Drosophila melanogaster: one gene and its partner. The protein of the gene in region 1 purifies or fractionates together with the protein of each later gene. This does not show direct contact. Each region holds a gene or a part of one and is shown in the gene's direction. Other genes may lie near its edges.

Region 1 (6,205 bases):
TCGAGGCGGAGGCCGTAATGTTGGGCCAGTCCATTTCCATGCTGTTGCCAGAGGTGATTGGCTACAGGCTGGAGGGCAAACTGGGCCCTCTGGCCACATCCACCGATCTGGTGCTGACCATTACCAAGCATTTGCGTCAGCTTGGTGTCGTCGGCAAGTTCGTGGAGTTTTACGGCCCCGGAGTGGCAGAGCTCAGCATCGCGGATCGCGCCACCATCAGCAACATGTGTCCGGAATATGGAGCCACTGTGGGTTACTTCCCAATCGATGAAAACACGCTGAGTTACATGCGCCAAACCAGTGAGTCAATCTTAAAAATTATCTAAATTTATTACTTGATATCCATGGATGTGGATCATTAGATCGCTCCGAGAAGAAAATCGATATTATCCGGAAGTATTTGAAGGCCACTCGACAACTTCGTGACTATTCCCTTGTGGATCAGGATCCCCAATACACGGAGGTAAGTGAGATTCTGTTTTTCCAATGCAAAGACATACTAACGAATCACTTTTTTACCCTGCAGTCTGTAACTTTGGACTTATCCACCGTGGTGACCTCGGTTTCGGGGCCCAAGCGACCGCACGATCGCGTTTCAGTTTCCAGCATGTGCGAAGACTTCAAGTCGTGCCTCATAAGTCCTGTCGGCTTCAAGGGATTCGCCATACCACCGAGTGCATTGGCTGCAAGTGGTGAATTCCAATGGGACGATGGGAAGAGCTATAAGATAGGTCATGGATCTGTTGTGATTGCCGCCATCACCTCGTGCACGAACACTTCGAATCCCTCGGTGATGTTGGGCGCTGGTCTGCTGGCCAAGAATGCCGTGCAGAAGGGCTTGAGTATTTTGCCGTATATCAAGACCTCATTGTCACCAGGATCTGGCGTGGTTACCTACTATCTGAGGGAATCCGGTGTGATTCCCTATCTGGAGCAGCTGGGCTTCGACATTGTGGGCTATGGCTGTATGACCTGCATTGGCAACTCGGGCCCGCTCGATGAGAACGTAGTGAACACCATCGAGAAGAACGGACTGGTTTGCTGTGGCGTCCTGTCGGGCAATCGCAATTTCGAGGGTCGCATCCATCCCAATACTAGGGCCAATTATCTGGCCAGTCCGCTGCTGGTGATTGCCTACGCGATTGCCGGCCGTGTGGATATTGATTTCGAGATCGAACCGCTGGGCGTGGATTCCAACGGCAAGGAGGTGTTCCTGCGCGATATCTGGCCAACGCGCAGTGAGATTCAGGAGGTAGAGCATAAGCACGTCATTCCCGCCATGTTCCAGGAGGTGTACAGTGAGTATAGCTAGCTGACTAAGATTTTTCCGCAGCTCTAGGCTAACTGTGTCCGCTATCACAGGCAAAATTCAACTGGGATCCAGGGACTGGCAAACGTTGGAGGTGTCGGATAGCAAGTTGTATCCATGGAGTGAAATATCAACATACATCAAACTACCACCGTTCTTCGAGGGTATGACTCGTGCGCTGCCCAAACTTAAAGGTATCGAGAAGGCTCGCTGTCTGCTGCTTCTCGGTGATTCAGTGACCACCGATCATATCTCGCCAGCCGGATCCATTGCACGAAAGTCACCGGCAGCGCGCTATTTGTCGGAAAGGGGTCTAACGCCGCGCGACTTTAATTCGTATGGATCCAGACGTGGCAATGATGCGGTGATGGCACGCGGAACCTTTGCCAACATCCGTCTGGTCAATAAACTGGCATCCAAGACGGGACCCAGCACACTGCACGTGCCCAGTGGCGAGGAGATGGACATCTTCGATGCGGCGGAACGGTATGCGAGCGAAGGAACACCTTTGGTTCTGGTCGTAGGCAAGGACTACGGCAGTGGCAGCTCACGTGATTGGGCCGCCAAGGGGCCATTTCTGCTGGGCATCAAGGCGGTGATTGCTGAATCGTACGAGCGCATTCACCGCTCAAATCTGGTGGGCATGGGCATCATTCCGCTGCAGTTCTTGCCTGGCCAGAGCGCCGATACCCTGAAACTGAGTGGCAGGGAGGTGTACAACATTGTCCTGCCCGAGGGCGAACTGAAGCCGGGCCAGAGGATTCAGGTCGATGCTGATGGCAATGTCTTTGAGACCACGTTGCGTTTCGACACCGAGGTGGACATAACGTACTACAAGAATGGCGGCATTTTGAACTATATGATACGCAAAATGCTGGATTAGTTAGTGCGTTCGTTGACTTTTATATTCCATATGCATTTCTAGGCGACTTTTAATTGTTATTATGTGCTGGGAAATAAAATTTGACATTCATCTGTGAGATGATAATTATTAAAAAAAAAATATTTCAAATATTTTATAATATTTTAAATTGCGCGCTCTGGATGTTATCGATAGCAGAAATGCCGATGGCCAAACCAGTCCTGCTAAAAATGCCTAACGCCTGCTGGTGAATCATCGACAAGGCAGCAATAAAATCGAATAGTCCCTGTTATATCGCTGTTAACTTAACATAGTTCGCTGCTTCTTTTTTTGTCCGTCCCGTGGACTTTTCTCCAGAGGATTTTGATTCCAATTCGCAAAAGAAAAACATAAATAAGCAACAGATCGTGTGTTGGCCAATAGCTCTGCAGCCAGTGCTCGATATTCACTTGGAAGAACCGCGCAAAAACGCAACAACGCAGCAGGAAAGTCGCGCCTCCGCCTCCCCACCAAAAAAAAAAAACACAAAAAAAAAGAAAAGATCTCGGATCGCACAGGGTTTTATTTTGGGCAACCGCACTTGGACTGGTGGGTGCTTCGGTTCCCTCGACCTGTGGATAGTGCCCAGTGGCGTCGCGTCGCTTTGGATTATGTCATTTGTTTATGGGGAATTGCCGCAGGCCCAGTAGCCAATGTTGCATCCGAAAGAGGCAGCGAAAACCTGTAAAAATGTAGACTGTGTGCGTGTGTGTGTGGGCCAGTGCTAGTGTGTGTCCGTGTGCCGTGTGTGTCCACGTGTGTTTGTGTGTGCGGATAATGGACGTTTAGTTTTTGGTCGAATCCGCAAGATATATAGTGAAATAGGTATAGGCTAGAGATCCCAGGGAGCGGTAGCCATACATATATGTGCACAGCCACCGCTACCCGATGGCCACGTTTAATCCTGGCGCCAGCAGCAGTGCCGCCGACGTTCTGAGCGCCACCACAGCAACGGCTACTTTTCTGGTGCCCACCACTGCGGCAGTATCGCATCCTGGTGCCCATACCGCCCATCTGCAGCTGGATCAATTCGGAGGCTTCTCCGCGGCGACGGCCACTCCCCTGCAGCACCATCACCATCAGCAGACCAACTCGTCGTACACTTTTGTGCAGATCAAGAGGGAACCCTGCCAGGTGTCCGAAATAAGCTCGAACAATTGCCACCAGCAACAGCAGCAACATCACCAACACCACCAGCACCAGGTGCAGCATCAGGGCCTGTCTTCCGCCTCGATGACCGCCTCCTCCAAGACCATGTCCTCCTCCACACTGACCACTCTCGTCAAAATAGAGGCTCCCTCGCCAAAGGTATCGGAATTGGAAAAGTCCACAGGTAGGTGACACCCAGCCACTGGTCAAGAGCACTCCTCATCGGTTAATTACGATTCTATCAGGCAACTCCGTTCCCATTGGCATCGCCGTGGCCAGGAAACGCCCGCAAGAAGCTCTGGTGCCGGCTATCAACACCCCCGCTACGCTGCCGCTGCAGCCACCACTCAACAAGGACTTGAACTGCTTCGGCATACGCGTCGCTGACCTCGGTGAGTGCCAAGCTACACAGAGAGAAATGCAGCTTCATCTCATGGAAATAATAAGTTCTTAGTGATATTCAAGGGGATGTAAACTGTTTTAAGGTATCTGCTATCTTTGAGATACCAAATGATTTACTTAAAGAATCATTAGATATTTCTAGATGCTGTTTTCCATTTGTGTTAAATGATATGTAAATTTAAGACAATCACTGTCTTGTGCCATACATTTTTTCCATCCGTGTAACTTCTGGGCATCTAATTCAATTGAGTCACCAGATTTGAGCGCCCCTAATGAACGGCGCTTCCCAAGGGACAACGTTATATGATGCTTATGATGCCAGGACGTGGACGTCGTTCAATTATGCCACTAATAAGATTGCCAACAAACGTTCAGCGCTGTGCGGAATTCCATCAGTGAGCAATGGCCGAGGGTGTCGTCTCCGCCTTAAACAACCCGCTGGAGTTTAGAGGGCAGGAATCATATGATGGCCGCCTGTTGTGCGGCTGTCGTTGTTGTGACAGCCACCGAATCGACTGGATTCGACTCAAAACGGCTCATCCCCATATCCATCCTCCCTTGCGGGCAGAAGGAAACCCGGTGGTAAATCATACGAACTTCTAAAGCGGAAGTGAAACGAAAGTGAAACACATTGCGATTTGAGAAGGGAGGCTTTGCGTCGCCTTGGCTCTGGTCGACTTGAAATTGCTCTTTAGATGGGCACATAAATATGTTTATATTTTTTTGGGGGTGTGTTTTGTCGCCGTAGCCAGTCGAATTACATTTTCCGGATTATTTTTAAAGTCTGCTAATGGTGAAATAATCAACCATGCCCATGACACGAACATGAACTTTATGATCTTGGATGGGTTACTTTTTCATATCAATCTATTTACAAAATAGTACCAGATGTGCCATAGCCTTAATCAAAGAGCAAGAGTACAGGAAACTGTGTACTTTGTTTTAATCACTACATGGAATTTCATGTTATTCTTTAAATGATAACGTCTATAAATGGTTAGAGCAATATGATGGCAGGGAAATGAATCATTACACTTAACTAAATGAATATATAATTTGTATTGCTTTGACTTTACAAAGTTGCACTTATTTTTTGTTATTTTTACCTGGAATCTCCATTTACTCATTTATTATTATCAACTCTGATAAAATTGAAGTCACAAGCTACTTTTTGCGGGGGTTTTTATTTTTATATATCTATTAAACTAGAAGTTCAACGCTGCTATAAAAATCCAATGCAAAAACAGATTGAAATTTTGTTTTTATATCTATTCTGGGTATTTCCCAGAAGTTCTCTTTTAGTAAGAAACTCTGACAGAACAGCTCATTCTCGATTGAGGGTGTTTATTTTCATGCATCAAATACGTTTTCCTTTTAGATTTTTAGAATGACTTCAGAAAATACATATTTTTAGCGGGTTCTAGTGCTTTTGAGTGCAGAAAAAAACCCTTATAAAGTAGGCGCATTACTTATGGTTCGGCAATGAGCAGAGTATCGAGGGCTTCGGCTTAGTTAGCATGCTCCAATGGAGCTGAAGCTAAAGTTCCAGTTGCGTGGGCGCCATTCAGAGGAACATCAGAGCGGGAATCCAAAGACAGATTACTCATGGACTCATGGTGCTCGGGTGGGTTGTTTTTTCAGACTTCAGACAAGGTAGCAGCGGTGGCTGTTGCTAGAAGTAGTCTGGAATCTGTGTGTGTGTGTGTGTGTGTGTGTGTGGGGGAACCAGGAACAAGTAAGGCATCACCTATAAGGGATGCTCGAGCTGGATGCTCGGATGCATGAGTGGTTCTCCGGGGATGGGAAACTAAAGGGGAACTGGGTAACAAACCGGGCGAATCATCCTCCAGGACACAGGACCTAGCAACATGACACGCCGAATTGGATTCAGTAGACGACCATATGGAAGAGTCTTCCTAACGTGCCGCTGGTTATTATTTTTTTTTTTTTTCCTTTCCTTGCCACAAGTCACATGCTATTTATAAACGTTTGCCTGGGTAGTTTCTCGGTCCGAAACAAATCACTTGTCAAAAGATGTAGCTCTAATTGCGTTTGCGGAGATGGGACACTGTCGAATACTTGTCATTCATTTCGATTCGAGTGCGGTGGTGGGTTTCCCAATTCAGAACCCATAATGTAATCCAATTACAGGGCATCACGTACGTTTTAATCGAATTTTTGTAGAAATTATCCAGCCACAGTGTCGGAAGGGGGTGGGTTATTCGAAACGATTGGGATGTGTGATAGTTGCCTGGTTGGCGTAGTGGTGGGCGGTTGGGTGGTTTGGGCGCACGCGGTCACCAAATGCATAGTTCAAGGACATTGCAATATTTCACGTATACATACACATCTTCGCTTACAACTTACAAGTTACACGGCAGGCCCGAAACTTTATTAAACAAACGAACGCCAAACGAATAGGTTGGCATATCTCTTCCCAGAAT
Region 2 (9,376 bases), on another chromosome or scaffold:
ACCGTCCGCCCTCGCTATTTCGGATTCTAGCAGTTTCACGTCATCAACCGCCTTCATGCGGTAGTAGTAGGGTGGCAATGGTGCCTCCTGCTCCGGCTGAACGATGTACTTGTCGCCATCGTCCCACAGCAGTTTCGGCTCCTGCGTGATTTTCTGGATGCAATCTAGGCGCCGCTCAATCTCTCTCCTTAGTGCCTTCTTGGCATCATTGCCTACCGGAACGTGGGGCCCCCGACGTCCTCGCAGCTGGAAGCGCATAATCTGCCGCTTGGCAAAGATGAACAGCATCAGGCAAGTAAGTACTCCTCCGCTGATTATGATGATTATCATCACGCCCGAAAGCTGTTCCATGTTGCCGCCCGCCTTGCTGGCCTTCTCCTGAAGACTCGGTGCGGCGTAGTCGCCTACCTTATGCAGGCGCAGATGCCCATCCATGGCGAATACTTTTTAATTCGCGGATATGAAATAATAAACAATTTTCTCAAGAAAATTCTTTGTTGTTTTGGTCAACCACCCAAGTCAGCTGATTCTGAGTGTGACCGCTTACGTTTGGAAAATACTAGAAATACATAATTATATCTTATATACCAAGTTTCAAAAACGAAGCGCAAATTTTAAACACATAATTTTGTAATGGTTAGGAAAATGTAAACTTATGTAACAGTAATACAAAACAATCATTACAATTATTTTCTAAAATGGTCAACAATTTTATTTTTTACTTTTTTGTATATGATATATGGAAATAGAAATGGGAAACCAATACTTTTGAGCGCCTCAACAATTGAATTTTGAGAACTTGGACGATTATTTACACACTAAAAAAGAAATCCATGCGGATGAACAGTCTCTTTGGCAACCAGCGAGTTATATTGCTCCTTTTACTTCAATCATTTTGCTCACGTCCACGGGTAATTATTACTGAATAGCACCGTGCCCACCAAACTATAAGTGGTGCACCATACAAAGAGAGCTCCTGCCTTCGAACGCAGTTTTAGTTGGGCCAGTGTCTTGGGCATGTGGTCAGCGGCAAACCAGTAGAAAACAGGTGTGGCCGAGGCCAGGAGGCGTGTGGACACTTGGATGTGCACGTAGACGGTGCAGACAAGGGTGAGAATCGCAGCGTGCAGCACGAAAGGGAATGTGGTGTGGTCCCTTATCAGCTCCTTGAAGCCAGAGGGCGTCAATTTGGCCCAGACCGCTTTGGCCAAATGCTGCATGTAGTCGTAGCAGTGCCAGTGCATGAAACTCAGCATGGGCAGGGCCAGCAAGAAGTTGGGCAGCTGTTTCCACTTGTAGTATCGCAGGAAGCCCACATCCCAGTAGTGCGACTGCACGTAAGTGTAGGGGAACGGCAACGTGTACTGGCACCAAGGTGATCCTTCAGAGCCCTGGCCAGACAATAGGTACTTCCGTTCCACTGCGTAGTCCACAATGTGCTGCGGATGGTTTGGCCTTGTGTTCGGCAGACAGTATAGCCTGTATATGTAGAAATAGTAGGTGTGCAGTATCCCAATGGCTCCCAGAATGGTCAGCGTCATTTGTGTCAGCTGCATGCAGGTGTTGGGCTCCTTGTTCTTGAGTAGCAGTTGGCGTCCGAAGAAGTAGAGCGGGTATCCCAAGGTGATTAATCCATTTGAGCGGCACAGTAAACAGGCGGCTAAGGCGGTTCCCAAACGCAGATATCGGAAGCTACCCGTCGGCTTCGAGCACTCCAGCATCAGATGAAGGCTGGAGTAGGCGAAAAAGGTCTCTGAGTAGGCGGCGGTGAAGAAAATGGTTGCCGGATTAAAGCAGTAGATGAGGGCCGCATTCCAGCTCTTGTTTAAATCGTTGAACAATACTTGGGTGAGCTGAAACAGCAAATTAGCTGACTCGCAGAAGAGCCAGAAGTTCAGGGCGACAGCCACCACCAGCAGGATAGATTCCTGTGATAAGGAGATCCCGATGGCCTCCACGGCCTGTCCCACGTGACGCACGACAACCGGATATAGTGGATAGAAGGCCAACGTGTTTTCGTAGCTGTACAGATTCTCGGCTATATGCAGAAAGTATTCTCCATCCCAGTGCCGTAATCCTCCCAAGCAGCGCTTAATCACCTTGTCTATCCAGGAGGCATTCTGATCTGACGAAACCGGCATCCGGAATACATCTGGTTTGTGCTCTGGCAGGGCTCCGTTGGCGACCAATTGTACCAGGAGGACGATAAGGCGACTGGCCAGCGCCAGTTTAGTCACTTTCTCTGTCATTTCAGATTTCTAGGTCTTGGGTGGAGTCGATTATCATTCGGCGGGCATGTGATTCATATCAGGTCGAGGGCATACCTCACAGCTAAAACGATGTGGACGGATCTTCTGGCCTGGACACTGCTGCGGAGGGAAAAAGGCAAATCAGCTCCTCGGTTGCTTCTTGAACTGCCTTCTCTTTTGGTGACATTTACTTTGTGAAGCGGTTTTATTATTATATATTATTTTTGGGCAGAAGCCCGGAAAAGCAGAGCATGGTGTGACCAGAGGGTTTGAGGAAGCATTAGACACTTTCGATATATTATCGATACGAGAATAATATATTTAATAAACAGAATTAAATTAATATGTAAACTTAATTCTCGTTGCTCTCGAACTATTAATTTAGTGTACAATACAGCCTTATAATTTAATTTAAAAATAAACAGTTAATACGTCACGTGAATTGCAATCGATACTATCAAACTAATATCGTTGATTGCCCCACCTCAAATCGATATGGCACATTATAGTGGCGGCATTTCCTAAATAAACTGCCGCTTTTATTTGGCAGTTGGGTTGAATTTAAGCTAAAATTTCACTCATAAATGAAGTGTCGCAATGCCGAGCAGTGCAAAGAAGTCGGACTCTGCAAAGAGCAATAGCTCGACGCCACGAAGACCGCGAAAGCGCAAACGAGTGGATCGCCAGAGCCTGGACTCGCAGGTCGATGAGGATGCCAAGGAGATCGATCGCCGGCTACGGAAAGTGGCCAAGAAGAACTCCATCAGTGCCGAGGACATGCAAAAGGTGGTCCGGAAGGTGGTGCGCAACGATCATGTTCTGGCATTAGTCACTTTGAAGGCGGAGGACGAGCTGGCGCGGGAGAAGTTGGAGTCGGCGGAGCAGCAAAAGCGGGGTGCCATCATCATAACGGACACTCCATCTGTGCCCAAGCTAACGCGAGCGAAAGCACGGGAACTGAACTGCACGCCTGGGATCTCGCTGCCCCAGCTCAATGAAACTTCCACCGACAATAATGGTATAGAGGCTCTAATACGTGAGGATTTGCACTCTGATGAGGAGGACGAGGAGTATACCTTCAAGGAGGAGGACTTTCATGTGAGTATAAACATTGAGGCCAATTGATCGTTGTTCAATAATTGTTATTATTCCTTTATTATCAGTCCGATGATGATCCTAACACTACAGCATCGGATTTCGACTCCAATCCCTGCACGCCTCAAACTCCTCTTACTGCCAATGAGGAATCTCCTATCAAATTCTCTGATGACGGTTGTTTCAAGGTGCCGTTGGACAGAAATTTTCAGGATAAAGAGGATCTTAGGATTGCCACTAGAACGCGCTCCAAATTTTGTTTGCAGCAAACTACCATTGAGGATTTGCAGTCGGAATTTGTCCCGCCGGACGTGGAGCCTAGCGATGTGGTGGAGAACGAAATGACCGCCAACGATGCGGATTGGATGCAGTTCCTCAATGACTTTACAAAGCCTTTAAGTATGTAGTATCAATGGATGCTTTTATGCTCTCCCTAACTTTAATATCTTACAGACAATACGGTCCAGGGCGACGATGATGATCCTATTAACGATCCAGAATATGTGGCCGCTGATCACTTGGAATCGGAATATGAGAACGCCGAGGAGCTGCGCGATGTAAATATATCTAAAAAAGAGTTAACTGACCTGGTCTCTGAGCTGTTTGCTGGTTTGCTGGAAGAAGGAGTCTCTCTGGAATCGATTGAATTGGAAACACCTCAAAAATTCGTTGAAAGTGCCAACGTTTCGATGATTCCCATTGATCAAGTGTCCCGTAACATCGATTTTGATGGCCAGCAGATAAATGCTAATCAGCAGGAGCTGTCCGTTTTTCAACCTAATCTAATGCCGCCTCCTTGCGAAGGGAACGAAATGGGCATGGGTGTGCCTGTCCCTGTGGCTGTGCTGCAGGAGGAAACTGGTGGATCCGCTTGCAATGTGGTAAACATACCTTCCGAGGCGCTGACTGTTCCCCCCGAACTAATAGCTGTTCCAATACCTGGGCAACCTAATTGCTTCCAAATCGCCAAAGTTGTAGGCAATGATTCAACTGTTGGTCTTCCATTAACTGAAGAGACACTGCAGAACTTTTCTAGCTTGCATCCAATGGAACCCCCCGTGGTAGCTGCAAGCAATGGAGATCGATATAAAAAACCATTTGATACGAACTTCACCTGGGAATACATCTCGGTTAGGAAACATATATATTCGGAGTATGAGGAAAAGTTTGAGAGCCTGCGAAACGTAGAGCCAGTAAACCTCAATCATCTCGCCAGGAGCAGGGGATTTACCCAGTCTCAGCATGATATGCTTCAGCAGCAGCTTCGCATTCACACGCAGTTGCTCAGTCAAAGCTATCTGCAAACCTACTCCCATCCTACGTTGTACCCCATGGCCAAGAAGCCCAGAGAAATGTTGGAAGAATTGCACAAAATGGCAACTAAAGATCCCAGTTTTAATTGCTGGAATCTGCAGGAGGCTGTTCAGCTGGTTAGAAAATGGGAACATGATCTGTCCAGTGATGAGTTTAAGGAGGAGAACGAGAAGATGATGGACTTCATCAATAAGGAAACGGATCTGACGTAAGTTGGTGAAACTTTAAACAAAACATGCTGCTGTACAACTTGTATTTACTATTTTAGTGATGGCCACACGCGCCAGGTTCCCAGGCTGGCGCCTCGTATTATGGATCTCATGCTGGATAGCCGGGTGTTTATGTATCCGCAGTACCTACCCCGTATGGCGTTTCAACCGAAACTGACTCAAACCACCGCTTACGCACCATCCGAATATCAGCTTATTGCCATTGGCCTAGAGAAGCACTTGGCATTAATGGTAAAAGCCAAGAGACAACTACGCAAAGGTGCAGATCCCATTCGCGTTGCCTGTAAGCGAATGATTAAGGATACGATTTGTGGAAAGACTGCCCGCCGAATTTTCTTGAAAATCGCGGAGCTACGCAACTCAAAACAGTACAATCCAGTGAAGTATTTCTTTGAACATCGTCGAGCACCGCCCGCTAACGCCATCCTTTGGGGATTCGCTGGTGGGCTGGTGAGAACTCCGCGGGAACGACACATGGAGCTTCCCAGTGGCTGGCAATACTACATTGAGGTAAGGAATACAATGGGTTATTATCGGATACATTGTTTAACATTTAATAAGCATCAAAAAGGGGGAAAATCTCAAAGGGTAAATAAGATGGGATTAGGAAAACTAGCTTAGTTGGTGGCCCACTCGATCTCTGGGTATGAGGCGCAGCTCGGATCCGTGCTTTAGGAACACATTACCAGCAGTCTGCTGTGGGCTGATGCCAATTCCATCGTCCGTGATGATGGCACTCGTCTCCGCCGGAACCTTGAACTCTTCAGAGGCGAATTTCAGCACAGCCGTAAAGGGAGTTCCCTCCGGAACACTAAGCACCTTAAAGGGCAGCTTGGGGTCCGAAGTTAGCGTGATTTTGAAGGTTACTTTGCTCATAGTGGAATGTGCAGACGTGGTCAGTTTTGATACTCTATGGGAATAAACGGGTTTCCGATGTTTTCCACAGGCAGAGTGTTTGAGCCCTGGTGGTTAAAGTTTAAACAAGTATAAATTAGTTGGTTTGAAAATAGTTTTAAGGGGTATTTTATTTAAAAACAATAAAATATGTTGACGCTCTTACTTTAGTGCGGTCAATATTACGATAGGCAAGGCAGCGAGTTATCGTCTGTGATGAGTAATATTTGCATAAATGTACCTATGTCCGTACCTAATTAGGAATACATGTTTAGAACTTTATTAATTTTTCTCTTAAATTTTAAGTAATATACTTGCTAGTGATTGTTGGCAGAATTATTTTACGAAATAAATCACTGGTCATCGGTGGCTAGGTACCATCGACCAAAGTTATCGATATCAATATACATAGCTTGTGCCATCGCTGTGTTTATAAATCGCGGACAATTTTCAATCTATTATTTTTCAGAAAACTTGGGATCAAAAGCGCACACGTCGCAATTTTAAAGCATCGAAAGCATCGTCGGTGGCTAGTGCTTCTTATTTGGAGTTTGTACGCGAGGCGGTCGGCGAGGACCTGCTGCTGCCAGAGACTTTTGGTCAGGCTGCGGTCCCCAATGGCAGTGCTGCTGGTTCGGAACCGCCCAAGGAGAGCAAACCGAAGAAAAGGCCAGCGCAAAGGAGACCCCGCCCTGCGGAAAACCCACCACAGCTTACCATCAATGTGAATTATGTTTTTGGCGGGAATACGAGCGCGGGAAACATACCCGGGGTCTCTGGGGTTTCGGTGCCCTTGGTGGCCGGCGGAAATCTGGCCGAGAACGTACTGAACATCAATCGCAGCTTATACACCGCCGCCGAGTGCAGTAGTCTGCTGGCCTTGCCGCCTGCTCCTCCACCATTGGATGAAAATGCTCCGCCAGCCATCAACTTCACAGTAGACAAGTTCACTAACACACTACAAATCTGCGAATTGGAGGAATCCAGCAAGGCCGTACAGCCGGATCTGTTGCCTGCGCAGGATACCCCTTCCGTCCCAGGCAGAAACGCCAAAAGGGCGCGATACCAAATCTTTAAGCCAAAGGTTCAATCCGCCAATAAATCGCGAAAAGGGTCAACACCAACCCGCAGTCGATACCATATATTGCGCGAACGTTTGCGCCATAAACTAAGCCAGCGCTGTCATTCCCTAATCACCACCTATGAATCCTACCTGCGTCATCACATCGAAAAATATAAAGACTGCGAGTTGGTACAGGTCGTGCACAATCGTTTTTTCGCCCTCGAACTGTACACTCAACTTCTGGTCGATCTGAGGATGTTCTGCAGCAATACAAACTCTAAAACGGCAGCGCAGCCAAAGAGATCTAGGAGTGATGATGAGGCGGCGAAGCTGAGAAGAGCCAACCGGCAGGAGGAGATGCTTCGCCAAATGCTCCAGCCGGATACTACAGAAGAGCGCAATCGCAAAGATGCCAGTAAGTTTTAGTTCAATCCCATTTAATGAAATTCAACTTGAATAATTTTATTATTTTGCACGTTCAGTTTTTGCCATGAATTTTTATGAAAAGGTAGAGGAGGCCTTGCTGAGTGCCAATCGCCTAGATGATTGCAAAAAATTCAACAGTATTTTGCAAAACTTCGACCCCAGGCAGGAGAAAGTTTCATCTTTGTATTTGGTATGTATCACTTAAGTGTCTTACTCTTATTGCATTCTAATTTTTTTTTGGGGTTCTTAGAAAGTGGAAGAAATTTTGCTACCCACTCATCCCGAACTGGCTGAAGTATTCCTCAACTTTTTGCTACCTGCCGAGGCCGCTGAGATGGGAAAATTCTTTGAGCACTTTATGATATGCAATGCTACCAACTTTATCAACAAACTTAACATTTACTTCAGTAAGCAGCCAGCTCAAATCAGGAAGATTTATGCCTGTCTAAACGAGTTGGCCGAAATGCCTAATGTCAGCATGAAAAAAGTTGAAAATAAGATAATGCCCTTGCTCAAGGGCAATCAATTTCTGATCGATTGGTTTGTGCAACAATTCCCACAGGGAAAACCACCAAAAAGGTAAGAATGGTAAACAAAATACTCGAGATTGATTTAATGTAACATTGTCTTTTATTTCCAGAATCCTTTCTCCTGTAGAGACCATAAATTTGCATGACGTTCAAAACAATACAACGGGAGAATATACGGAAACTATTCAAGAGTTTACAGATGTACCTACGCCAAGTAAACCAGGTTGTCACTTAAAGTATATCAATGGTCGCATATTTTATGGAGCCAAGATCCTATTGCCTGCCAAACTGTCTTTTATGGCTGCCAGTATTTACAATGAACAATCTCATGACGTGCCACCCGTCTCCAGTGACTCGATAAACTGCGCCCATGGTATTCGTGCCCAGGGAGAAAAACTTCTTAGTATGGCTTCCAATACAGATAGCGACGATGGCGCGGATCGGAGTGAGGAAGATGATGCCAGCCGCGCCTTGATTATTGATACCACGAGTGATGAGCAGAACAGCTGCTCATCTATTGAGATGTGCGATGAGACAGGCTTAAGAGCACATGCAATCAGATTGAATCCCGGCTTGTATACCAACTCAAGCTTTAACAATGCAGCGACCAGTACGCCCAATCTGGGCAACTCTCACCAATCCCATCATCCGCACGCCAAAAAAACTGCCATAAACTTTGGTGAAATATCCCCACGCAAGCAATCGGCATTTAACAACTCGGGATTGAGTCCCTTATCGGCGGCCCCCAACAGTTCCCCTCAAGTCGACAAACGAAAGTCACCTACTAAGAAGATCCGATCTCCTCTTAATCAAACTCAGAGCAGACAACGTGCCAATAATCAGCCAATGGTTGTTATCCATGAGTCTCAGCCTTCATCTTCGCCAGCCATTGAGTGTGCAAAGCGCTTGCGCACGCTGATCGATCAGGAGAGCGTGCGGGATGCAGCAGATACAAAGGCGGGCATTCGAATTATTGCGCAAGCCAAGCAGCAACCTCCAAACCAATGCAGCTCTGAAGCTATTACGAAAGTCGAGGTAGTCAGCCTGGATGAAAGTGCCGAGAATATGCCTTTCTGTACAAATCTCAAAATGGACACAGATCAATCGGAGGAGGAGCTGGAGCCACTGCAATTAAGTGCTGGCAACACACCACAGCACGTGATCACAACACAATTCGATAGCGATGAGGACTGCAAGCTGGATGTTGTGGCCACGCTGGCGAACTGCACCACCACCGAAGATAGATCGGAATCGGCAGCGGCATTACCTGCCACCACATCGCACTCTGAGTCTGGTAGTTCCCACTCGGCACCTTGGACTCGTGAAGAGGACAAAGTAATCCTGATCGAAATGAAAATAGGGGCACGGGATCGAGAGCAGCTCATTCGGCGTATGCGCGCCAAGCTAAAGAATCGCAGTATAGAAGAACTACGTAGTAGGCATCAGTTTCTTATGGACTTTCTGTCCAAATTGCAGGGAAAGTGAGGTTTCTCTAAGATGGTCTTTTGTGTATTATAATCCAAGCTGAAATAGGATACTAATAATAACTGTATATAAACGAAATGGTTTACCCCA

The links. Proteins that work in one complex are often made in the same cells at the same time.
Region 2: the proteins of wge (region 1) and mute purify together in Drosophila melanogaster (affinity purification with western blotting, with the first as the bait; one study listed by BioGRID). This does not show direct contact.

Annotation. Positions count from the first base shown.
Region 1 is NT_033777.3:22,717,417-22,723,621, reverse strand, and holds the start of wge (winged eye), read left to right. Parts: upstream 1-2,471; 5' UTR 2,472-3,098; coding exon 3,099-3,543; intron 3,544-3,604; coding exon 3,605-3,751; intron 3,752-6,205. Other genes in the region: Irp-1A (iron regulatory protein 1A), read left to right, coding at 1-300, 363-463, 527-1,298, 1,363-2,192.
Region 2 is NT_033778.4:16,948,626-16,958,001, reverse strand, and holds the start of mute (muscle wasted), read left to right. Parts: upstream 1-2,735; 5' UTR 2,736-2,846; coding exon 2,847-3,347; intron 3,348-3,412; coding exon 3,413-3,743; intron 3,744-3,797; coding exon 3,798-4,866; intron 4,867-4,926; coding exon 4,927-5,398; intron 5,399-5,420; exon of another isoform or gene 5,421-5,500; coding exon of another isoform or gene 5,501-5,764; exon of another isoform or gene 5,765-5,850; intron 5,851-5,948; exon of another isoform or gene 5,949-6,165; intron 6,166-6,178; exon of another isoform or gene 6,179-6,251; coding exon 6,252-7,260; intron 7,261-7,327; coding exon 7,328-7,461; intron 7,462-7,521; coding exon 7,522-7,850; intron 7,851-7,911; coding exon 7,912-9,286; 3' UTR 9,287-9,376. Other genes in the region: CG6665 (uncharacterized protein), read right to left, coding at 1-435; PIG-V (phosphatidylinositol glycan anchor biosynthesis class V), read right to left, coding at 900-2,249; Ufm1 (Ubiquitin-fold modifier 1), read right to left, coding at 5,501-5,764.